Oryzias latipes: one gene and its partners. The protein of the gene in region 3 interacts with the protein of the main gene of each other region in a pairwise test. Links are inferred from orthologs where the notes say so. Each region holds a gene or a part of one and is shown on either strand. Other genes may lie near its edges.

Evidence for each region.
Region 1: the proteins of dmd (region 3) and ctnnal1 interact in binary tests that used the Homo sapiens proteins (3 or more experiments, as listed by UniProt). The two-hybrid records come from large-scale screens. The link is inferred for Oryzias latipes from reciprocal best matches to the Homo sapiens genes DMD and CTNNAL1.
Region 2: the proteins of dmd (region 3) and traf3ip1 interact in a two-hybrid assay, tested with the Homo sapiens proteins (2 studies listed by BioGRID and IntAct). The link is inferred for Oryzias latipes from reciprocal best matches to the Homo sapiens genes DMD and TRAF3IP1.

Annotation. Positions count from the first base shown.
Region 1 is NC_019869.2:9,189,260-9,192,913, reverse strand, and holds part of ctnnal1 (alpha-catulin), read right to left. Parts: intron 2,852-3,654; coding exon 2,762-2,851; intron 2,644-2,761; coding exon 2,485-2,643; intron 2,316-2,484; coding exon 2,223-2,315; intron 1-2,222. UniProt on the Homo sapiens protein: May modulate the Rho pathway signaling by providing a scaffold for the Lbc Rho guanine nucleotide exchange factor (ARHGEF1).
Region 2 is NC_019879.2:26,421,904-26,425,557, forward strand, and holds part of traf3ip1 (TRAF3-interacting protein 1), read right to left. Parts: intron 2,145-3,654; coding exon 1,983-2,144; intron 1,498-1,982; coding exon 1,339-1,497; intron 1,234-1,338; coding exon 868-1,233; intron 784-867; coding exon 706-783; intron 603-705; coding exon 582-602; intron 1-581.
Region 3 is NC_019860.2:133,633-137,386, forward strand, and holds the start of dmd (dystrophin), read left to right. Parts: upstream 1-1,216; 5' UTR 1,217-1,365; coding exon 1,366-1,447; intron 1,448-3,754. UniProt on the Homo sapiens protein: Anchors the extracellular matrix to the cytoskeleton via F-actin. Ligand for dystroglycan.

The DNA of each region.
Region 1 (3,654 bases), on a different chromosome or scaffold from region 3:
CTGATTGGTCAAAGCATAAAGGGATTTATTTGATTCGTTAAATGCTTCAAGCTGCTAGAAGATTGTTTTAACACATTTTGGGTTTGCGATTTATTGCGATATTCGCCGTCTTTTGCGATATGCATATTGCAGAGCTGGATATTGCGATAACGATAAATTTGCGGTATATTGTGCAGGCCTATATAGGAACAAGCAAAAGAATGTTAAAATAGAGCTTGTGCCCTTCCCCCGGACCCACACACAACCCCCAACCCCCCAACCTCCAAACAGTCCAGTTCTCATTTACAATGGCAGGTATTTTTAAATCGGGGGTGATGTGAGCCCACCTACTGGTCTTAGTGAGAAGTTCTGGAGAAGCTGAAGGTTCTAATCACCTGCTTACTATGACGGATAAAAGTTTGCTTACGGTAGCATTGTATGGTAGCTTAACAGCGGACTATGTTCTGCATCCTAATTGGCTGGAGACCATTGTCAATTGATCTCCTCTGTCATGTCTCCTGTACAGACTGCGTCCTGTTTGCCAATTTTAAATACATTTTCGATCGCGATCACATGTTTGCTTTTATTCCATAGAACTGAATAAATTTTTCTATAAAAGGTTTGAACTTTGAGAGTTTAAACAAGACAGAAAAGTGTGAAAATGTTCATGTTCGAGAAAGGTGTATAAAGTGTTGATTTGATTTTACAACTTTAAAACATCTATAATATTTAGTAAAGATGAGTACTTATTTTGGACTACTGTATTCAGGTAGTCAGCTGAACTCATTCTTTGAACTAACCTAAACTTCCGGTCATAGCCCTGCCTCACAGGCCTATAGAGTAGGCACTAGGCATGATGGATGCATCAGTTCATCTGCCTCTCTTCTTATCCAGATGTGTCCATCATTCTAGAACAGGGTAAATCTGGACTCATTGGACCACATGACCTTCTTCCATTGATCCAGTATCCAATATTTAAACTCCATTGCAGCTTGAAGCTTTTTTTCCAATTAGCCTCACTCTCAGAGGTTATCTTAAGGCAACACCTGTTCAGTCCCAGTCCCTTGAGTTTCCTTTGCATTGTATGTGCGGTAATGCTCTTACTTTCACTTTTCTACTGTCATGTCGTCAATTTAATTTCACCAAACATTAAGGGGTTGCCGATCACTAAACTGAACTTTTTCTTTCTTGGAGACGATAGATTCCCACTATCCTTCCAATTTTTGATCTTGCGTTTAACCGTTCCTAACCTAATTCTGGTAACTTCCGTAATCTCCTTAGATGTTTTCTTTACTTGATTTGACACTCAAATATCTTTTCCACGATCACGGGATGTCGTGTTAAATAAAGGTGCCCACCTTTCTTTATTTTGGGTGTGTAGTGTTATATTGATATTTGCAATCGATTCCAATCTATGGACCCAATAAATGGAGAGAAAACGATTAAGAAAATGTGGAAATTATGTATATCTGTACTCACAGCCCTCCCGTGTTCATCCTATGGAGTGTTGTATCTGATTGGCAATTATCCTTTTGGCCTCCCTAATATTACCTGAGCATGTGGAGAGTGAAATCACCTGCAGCACCCTGAATGGCACCTTTCCTGATTGGTTTATCTTTAAACTTAGGAGCTGAGTCATTACTGCAGAGTCGTGTGTGGCCTGACATAAGCACCATGGGACAGGAACATTCTACTCTGCTGGATAATTACTGGTACGGATGGTTTCCGAGAGCAAATATAACTATATGTGAGATGTGAGATTTGGTGGACAACATGTTCTCAAATATTCTGAATGGATGGCAGGAATAGAGGGCAAAGCCAGACACAGAAGAGTTTTTCCCACCCTCTGCACAGGATATAGATCTGCACTCTTTAGGGAATCGTGTCTCATTTTATATCCCAGTTTTGACCCATTAAACTTTACTAATATGCAATAAAATGTTGGAGTTACAGGGGCTTTAAAAATAACTCAAGTCCATCATGTTTTTGTTTGCCACTCAAACAGAAAATTAGGCAGCATTGCTAGTCAGTCTAGATCAGGGGTGCACAAATCCAGGCCTTGAGGGCCGGTGTCCGACATCTTTTCCAACCAACCTGCCATTGAAGTTCCTTATTGGCTAAACCCACCTGATCCAGGTAATCAGCACCAGAGAAGACAGGGTTTTTGGAAAACCAACAGGAGTCTGGCCCTTGAGGCCTGGATTTGGGCACCCCTGTTCCAGATAATAATCAGTGGGTTATACCTGTGGGCCGATAACATGGAAGGTCTCTTCTGCATGAATGCAGGTAATCTCCAGTGGTTCTGTACACGATACATGGCATAACAGTCGGCATGTCTGGATAAAAACACAGGAAATCATAAAAGCTATTATTTTGTGTGTGTGTTTTTTTTATTTTGCTGGTAAAGTATTAACTACAGTTGCACAAAAAAATTAACAATTGAAACTAATATAAATCTCAATTTTTCCTTTTCTCTGTAGCATCTTTTGCGCATCAACCGCTTACCTCCACCAGCTGCTCCTTTTGCTCGGTGAGCTTGCGCGAATAATCGGCTACTGCCTCCAGGTTTCCCTCAGCACCCGCAGCTTTGAGAGCCCTTAGAGGCAGCTGCTCTCCATGAACCTTCAACAAATCCGAGGCCCGGCCCACTGCCACGTTATGCAGCTGAGAGGAGGGCACACAGTTGAATAGCATAAGAAATAAAAGGAGAGGATGCAGAAATGAGAGACGTTTGTGGAACAGGGAGGGTGGCATTGTGACTCTAAAAGAGGCCGCTGCTCACTTCCCGCCTCAGGTCTCCCATGCTGTGACATGTCTTCAGTATGGCCACCTCCAAGTTCTCTGTGGCCTCTTTGGAACTGCCAGACTGCTGCTGCAAGAGGACAATATGCATTTAATATAGTGGATTTGAATGCAAACACAAAATCTAACATATATTCTTCACCGGAATATAAGACGCCCTGTCAATAAATGGTCTATTTTTGAAATGATGTCATATAAAAGGCGCACCGAACTATGAGCCCACATTTAGCAAGAAAAAGGAGGCAAACATAAGTCAGTCAGTCAAACTTTAATAACTGCATTCACAGTATTTCTAGAATTTGTGAAAGGCCACACGTCACAATAGGCTATCTGTAACCTTGTTTAAAAATACTGATACTGCTAAAGCAAACATTACTGTCACTAAGCTAACTCCCAACCTAGGTAGTAACATGAAAAAAAAACACAGTAAAACAGTCTGAATCCACAACACGTCAGCAAATTTGCAATACCTGTGACACACAACTTTGGTTGCAACACGTGAAAAAAAGACTGATACCACTAAAACAAACGTTACTGGGATTTCGCAAAGTCCTGTGTAACTTGTAAGTAACTTGTTAGTAACACGTAAAAACTACATAGTCTTGGGAATGCTAACCACATAAGTGTATTAATAATAGATGTAACTCCCAAACTTGTTAGTAACACATAAAAGAAACCAGACTGATACAGCTAAAAGAAATGTTACTGTGACTTCGCTAACTCTAAACCTTGGTAGTAAGACACAGAGAAAAATACACAGGTTGTGTCCGAATTCCTTCAGTAGTCACTACACAGTGCGTTCGCCATTTTCTAGTGCTGTCTGAATTTACAATTCCAAAATCAAGTGCCCTAGAAATTTCCCAGAAGTCTCTG
Region 2 (3,654 bases), on a different chromosome or scaffold from region 3:
AGGAGCAGATGAAAAAGTGCCGTTGGAAGAAGCCTGTAGCAGGAAAAGCTACACCAGGTCGCCATAAGCCCCCCCCCGCTCCACAAAGATGGACAAACAGATCCATAAACGATTTGGTTTCCCTCGTCTGAACTGGCATTTGGCTCAAAACTTTAAGAACTGGAAAGCGCCAATATTCTTCGCCATTTTTGCTTCACCGGTCATTTTTTTGTTAGGAGTGGGTGAAGCTGTAAGGTAGTGGGAGAGCATGTAAATAGAAGGGTGGCGGGCTTATGCGGTTTACGCCAATAATCCCGCCCACAACTCGGGGGTGAATTTCTAATGAGCTGCTGCTCTGCAGACCCTAGAAAGTGACACCAGCATTTTGATTAAGCCTGTAATCATAATTAATTCAGCTCTATTCAATAAGATGTTATTTATATAATATTACAACGCAGGTATCTCAACGTGCTTTTAGGTAGAAAACCTAAAATCAGTTATAAAATACAAAGCTAAATTCACTAGGAAAGCTTTGAAATTAGACCCATAGATGATTGGAGTGGGACTTTTAGAGGCAGAACTGTTTTCTAGGGTTTCATTACCTCTTCATCAGGATTTGGTTCCTTGCAAAAACACGAGTTACAACAATAGAAAAATTCATTTATATTTAATAAATCCTAAAATTGTGCAGATTAGCTTCCTAATTATACTAAATGATAAACTTACCGGTGTCCCCGTTTTGGCTGTTTGACTGTTGATCTCATCAGAACTGGGTTTCTGCTCCGGTTCTTCTGGCTCTCTGGTCTGAACACAAAAGCATCTGTATAATATCTACCATTCTTTGCTACTAATATATAATCAGACATTAAGGGAAGTGAAGTTTTGTACCCTTTTATCCCCACTTTCTGCACGTTTGTTCTGCTCCCCTTTGCCGTTTTGTCGCTCTCTGTCTTTTTCCTTGTGCTTTCCTTTGTCCCGGTCTCTGTGAGAATCTCTGTCTTTGTCTCTTTGCCGATCTCTTGTTCTGTCCTGCTCCTTCTCCTTGTCCCGAGCGCGTCCATTGTGGCGTTCTTGCTCCTGGTCTCGACTCTTTTCTCTTTCTGCTGCGGGCTTTTGGTCGCTGCGATGGCGCCTGTCAGAGTGGTCACGGTCACGCCGGCGCTCCTTCTGCTCGCCCTTGAGCTGCTGATCTTTGGGCTTCACTGTGTCTTTCTCTTCTCGACTGCTGCTGCGCTCGGTTAATCTTTTCTTCCCCTGAAATGGTTGAAGTGAAAAAGAACATAGACAAAAAATACACAGAAAAACAAACAACTGATTAAACAAAAACAAAAAAAGAGGGCATCTGTACTGAGAACTCACATCTCTATCTAGACCATGGCTGCGCTCCTCCCTGTGCCTCTTGTCCTGGGATTTCTCTCGGGATTTGTCCTGGGATTTGTCCTGGGATGTGCCAATCTTGGTTTTTGGGTCCACCTTTCCTCTTGAGAGCACTTGCTTCACTGCTTCATCACTGGATAACTGCAAAAAGATAAAACGAAAATAGAATTCCACTCCTGTGACAAATCAAACCTGAGATGCTTAGCTTTTGTCGAACTGATCTGACTCGCTACTATTTTTCACTCACTTTACAATATTTCTCCACAAGGGAGAAACCTCCAGATCGATAATCACGTTTGTCACATACGTATCTGTAAGTTGTGAGACGTTTTTATGTTGCCAATAACTGTTTCCATATTGTTTAGAGGAAGAAGTCCCAGAGCATCAGTTCATCCGTTTCCTCCCATCTCCAGGGTACAATTAAAGCTTTCCAGGTTTTTCCTGAAGCTAAACAACCATTTCCTACAGAGTGTTGTTAATCTAATGAATGTGAAAAATAGATTTAGGTTTTTGAGTTTTCACACAACAGTTTGGTCTCCGGAGTAACTGAGTTAACATTAAGCAATCATAAAAAATGTCTTTTCTCGTGTTTTTTTTTCTGTGTGTGATCTTTCAGTGACACTGACCTTGTTGAGGCAGCATCTGCCGATGGCCTGCAGCAGCTCGTTGGTTTTCTCCGGTTCGTGCCCAGCAACTATTCGTGCAGGCTTTGCCGTTAACGGCTCGCCACTTACCAACGCCACAACGTCTATGGCTTTCTGGAGGAAAGACATTCTTGCTTCTTTGCCCTGAAAAAAGAAAAGGATCACCAGAAAGGTGAGTACAAAAACATATCTGGAAAAAGAAGGAATTCAAGGGTTCTCCCTTTTTTATTTTTTATTTTTGTAAGCACCACTTTCTAGTTTACCAGTGAATGTTGTGACCATTAAATAACAATTATACATAAGAGGAACCAGCAATTTAAAAATTGCTCCTCTTTGTAAGACGGAAATCAAAAGGCATATTTTAAAAACGTTTACGGAAAACCTTTTTGTTTTGTGAGACGGCAGAAATTCATGCTTCCAAAAACTAATAGGACAAATCTGCAAAAAAGCACAATTAGTTAAAGATTATTCACTCCATCCTTTTAGGTTTTCTAGAAAATGCTAAACTAAAAAGTACTTTCATGTCACCTAACTGTAAGAGCGTCTCTACTTTGCTTTTTTTTGGGTACAATCTGTAATTTAATGCTACATATTCAAGATAGGATCTAAGTAATGGTCCTGCACAAAAGACTCTTAATGGTTGAAATTAAATGAAAAAGAAAATGGGGAAAAAAAACACAAGTGGGTCCAATTTTTGTCTCTTTGATGTGAGGCACCAAATGATGTCCCAGGAGGATACATTACTTCACAAATCACATGAACGGGGATCCATTTTTTCCACTTTTCCTCCAGCCTCACTCTAACATAAATCCACTATTTGAAAAGTTGTAAAATGCAGGTTTGGATGAGAGCTCTCTGTTCACAGAGAAACAGCAACCCTGAAAAATTACAAATGTTTGGTAACAATAATCAGTTCTCATCAATTTAAAAATAAAAAAATGATAAAACAAATAAGTGAAAAATACATTTCTAGATGGTCAGATAAATGATTTCAACGATGCTTGATCTGAAACTTGCTTGAGTGCAGCTTTCTGTTGGTGGAATTTGGCAGAATTCAGGCAAAACTGAAGTGAGTCCCACTTACTAAGGATAAGCACTACTACAGGCTCATGTGCCAACAGCCGACTAGAGTTTTAACACCTCAGAAAACCTTCTCAGAGCCAGAGCCTGTCACCAAAGAGCTTCTCTTTCAGCCTGGGTGTTCTCTTACGCCATGCGCAGACGGCGCAGACTGCGCAGATGGCGCAGACATATTTCAGCTACACAAGGTCGACCTGGTCTTCTGTTACTTTTCAGAACAAAAAGCATTTGTGCAAAATAATAATAATTAGAACAGATTAGTTATTAAATAAGTCAGCAGAACATGAACAAACCAAAAAATGTGCTACACAATGTTACAATTTGTTTATGCTAAAGTTATGTAGAATAGTTAAGTTTAAAATTATCCTTATTGGAATTATTTACTATATGCAAAAATGTACAACATTTACTTTAATACATATATATATTTATTTTAATAATGTATGTTTATATGTAATGTTAAATATATTCGTTTTTATATTTTTTTACTTGAGTAAGATGTTCTATTTATCATCCATGTTTTCCTACAGATATTCCCTTCATTTTATATATAGATATAGAAGTTTATTTTCTT
Region 3 (3,754 bases):
CTATGGTTGTTAGACTTCTAGCCTGCTTCAGCGTGACCGCGTTTAGGGATGTACATACAGGCCGCGGTCTCGCGCGTGAGCTCCCTCAGGAGTGAGTATGTCTGATGCTAATGGCTAGTAGCTTAAGATTCTGGCAGCATATGGAGACTCGTCCACTTACATGAGGGGTGACTAACTGTTGATTTACAGAAAGGAACCTTCACCCCTTGTTTACCTCTACATTTGGGTCCCTGTCCATTGGAAAACATGGGAAAATACATGACACATACACATGCAGATAATCAATTATTCTCAGTCATAAATAGGTTCTGTTACATACAGTACACGACACACTGAAAACATTAAATATTCCATCTGTCAAAAGGAGTTTGATAGCATGAAAGGCAGTGGGAGGAAGTGAACTTTTTTCACTTGTTTTGTCCAACAGCTGAGCAAACACATCAGAGCTGAAGGCTTCTTGTGTTGGACAGATGCTGCTGTTACCATAGATGGTGATGAATCTTCTGACACAAACATTTCAACACGTACATCATACAACTACATGTGTCTGAATTCTTTCACCATTTTCTCAGCATGTCTAAGTCTGCAATTCCAAAATCCAGTGTCTCAGAAGTTTCCCAGAAGTCCCTGTAAAAAATCAGTGTGCATCAATGCTCACCAGAATGGCGACTATAGACCACAATGCACTGCGTTTGGACAGTTTATCATTTAGGAGAATTGTATAAATGTATCTCTTATAGACTATTTATGTTTTCATCATCAGAACGCAGTGGATTCATTAAACTTCTTCATAAGATGTTCCTATATGAACAGCCCCCCCACGCTCAGGCTCCACCCTGTCGCCCAGCCGGTCTTATTCTGGAGCCCCACATTCAGCTGTATACCCCCCCCCCCCCCCATCCCTGACTGTGTGGAGCTTCTGCAACATTGTGTAGCTAATAATAAACACTAGCAAGAACCACCTCAACTGGGGGGTGGGTCTAATAATAGTCTGTTTGTGAGATCTTAGGGAGGGGGGGTGAGATTTTTTACATTTCAGATTTCTTTAAAGCTGCCCCCACCCCCCAGCTCTGGTTTCGACCAATCCAGATTGGAACATTTCTGACTTTGACCCACTTGGAGTCCTGAAGGGTCAAAATGTGACTCCACCGCTCCTGGGGTGTCCGGTTTTCCGTGGTGTGGGTGGGGCCTCAGCCATCTCCTATTTAGGGGTCAGAATGACCCACCCTCCTCCACCTGCTCCTGTCCATCTGCCACTGGGTGACAGCCCTCTTTCTGCTGCCAGCCTTCTCCTTCTAACCTGCCTGTTGCTCCTTGAGGCTGTTTGGTTCCTACATCTGGTCGTCCCAACCGCCGCCTCTCACCATGGCCGAGGGCGCTCGCCCCGAGGATTACTGCGACGAGCCGGGAGAAGATGACTTTGGAGAGATCATCAAGAGTCGCTCAGGTACGGATGTGTGAGCTGAGCTCCACTTCATGTTCTTTCCTGAGCAGATTCCTTTGAGGTTTCAGGCCTTCTGGGTGGTCAGATGTTTTCATGGCAGAAGATTAATGTCTGAATCTAATAATAAATATGTAAGCAGATGGCCTGTGGGACAAAAAGGTAAAAATGAAGAGAAACTTCCTGATCTTGAAAGTCTTGTAGTCTTTTCTGGTCTTCAGAAGACCCAGGAGTTTAGTTTTCCAGCCTGACGTGATCATCTGACTTTTTTAGACACACATCCTCGTAAAACATTTCTAGAAACATGATTATTGACTGGAGAATTCTGGATTTTGGTTTGTTTCTATCCATCAGAATAGATTATAGAATAGCGTTCTGCATCTGTCAGATGAAATGTTACACTTTGGTGGTGGTTTGCCCTCCTTTCTCATACTGTGGGCTTCACAATCTGAACATCAGAAACTGATTATTTCCATGAGAATTCAACATTTCACATTTCCATCTCCACAAATGTTCAATCCTTATAGAAGCTATGAAAACGATTATTTATTAATATTATAGTAAATAAATATTTTTATTTAAAAAATATGGTCTACTTTACTCTAAATGTTGTTATCTTAGTTAGATCAGGATGCCTCTGAGCGATGAATCCTACATCCAGATGGTACTGAAGTCCCACAGGGCTCCGATTAGGGACCAATTTTGTCCAACAGTAATAATACTGTTACCCGTATCCCTTACCCGTTACCACCAGTACCACTGATACCAGTGAAACCAAAATACAAGAAAAATGATCTGTACGTTTTTCTCTGAGTTTAAATCAATCAGTTCCAAAGGTTTCAAAGTGGACATATTGTAAAGTCCACTGGTTGTAAGGTCCTCATATAAAATGTGTGTGTATATGGTATTAGAGCAGGGGTGGCGAACACGCGGCTCTGGAGCCGCACGCGGCTCTGGGCCAATGAGCTTGCGGCTCTTTGCGTCTCATCATATTTTCAATAAACTGTGCCTCATTTCGTAATTTTTTCCTTCTTAAACCACACTCAAACCATCAGAGGGTATTAAAAAGAAATAACAATAGTAATTTGGCAGTGTGTGTGTTTTGAAAGCGTTCATCATAGACTCCAGGATTGTAGAACATAATAAAACAGCTGATCACGTGACGTCACAGCTGGAGGGCTAAAAGTTCTTCATAGAGTTTACGTGGTTGTCACGTGACTACAGCTTCAGCGGAGGATCTTCATCTTCTGCTGCAGATCAGTGAGGAGGATGAAGGCTTGGTTTATCTGAGGCTCTTCATCCTCGCTGTCACCTCGGGGGGGCTGCGTTCTGGGGCGGGGGGGAGGAGTCAGAAGCAACGGGAGGCGGTCAGGCGGCCAGTGTTTCGGTACCGGCGGAGCGTCCAGACGTTCAAACGCGGACTGCAGCCGTGAGAGCGCCGGGTCACCAACGCGGAACCGTCACGGAGGTTCGGTTCGGGTCCGCGAGGCTCAGCCGCTCCTCTGCGGATGGACCGGAACCTCAGCCAGGGCTGAGGCGACGCGCTCCCAGGTGAGCCGCACGCGCTCACTGACGTCAGGCTTTGGGCTGAAATTCCTGCGTGTCAGGTGAGTTCACCAAACGTGCACGCGGCTGTGGCGTTCTGATGACATGCTGAGAGACAGGAGTGCGTCGGTGAGCGCGTGCAGGCAGAGGATTAGTCCAGTTTGAATGCTGGCGGACATGCGCAGATGGTAGTTACATGGAAGACTGTTTCTGTCAAACTTTGCTTTGCACGCTGTGCGCATGCGCTGTCTGTATACTGAGGGGAAAAGGCTGTTGCTCATCAGCACTACAGCACATCTGAAACCGGACCAGACCCACCTGTTGATGAGGAGGTCTGGCACCAGTTTGGGCCGGGCCCATGTCAGAACTCTGAACATCTGTAGATGCGTCAGAGCGGCTGTTACCTGGACTTCCTCCCTCCTCTACGTGAGGACGGGGTGGGGGTCTCTTCTTGGTACATGAGCGGAGGATGAGATCAGATTCAGCCCTGGGGGGGTCTGTGTTGCTGTAGTTCTGGTCCATTCATGCTCACCTTTCTGCTCTGGCCCCTCCCCCTTTGTGGGAGGGCGGGGCCCTTTGCTCTCTACTACTGGCTGTTGTTGTCTAGAGTTGGGGGCATGTTGGGGAACCCTGGTTGGAGGGTGCTCAGGTCCCCCCCCCCCCCCACACACACACACCGGGGTAGTGTTGGGTGGGTGGGGACACAAATATCCTACATACATAGAAATATCAAACCCCCAGCTGTGATGTGTTTGCTCTGCTTCTGAA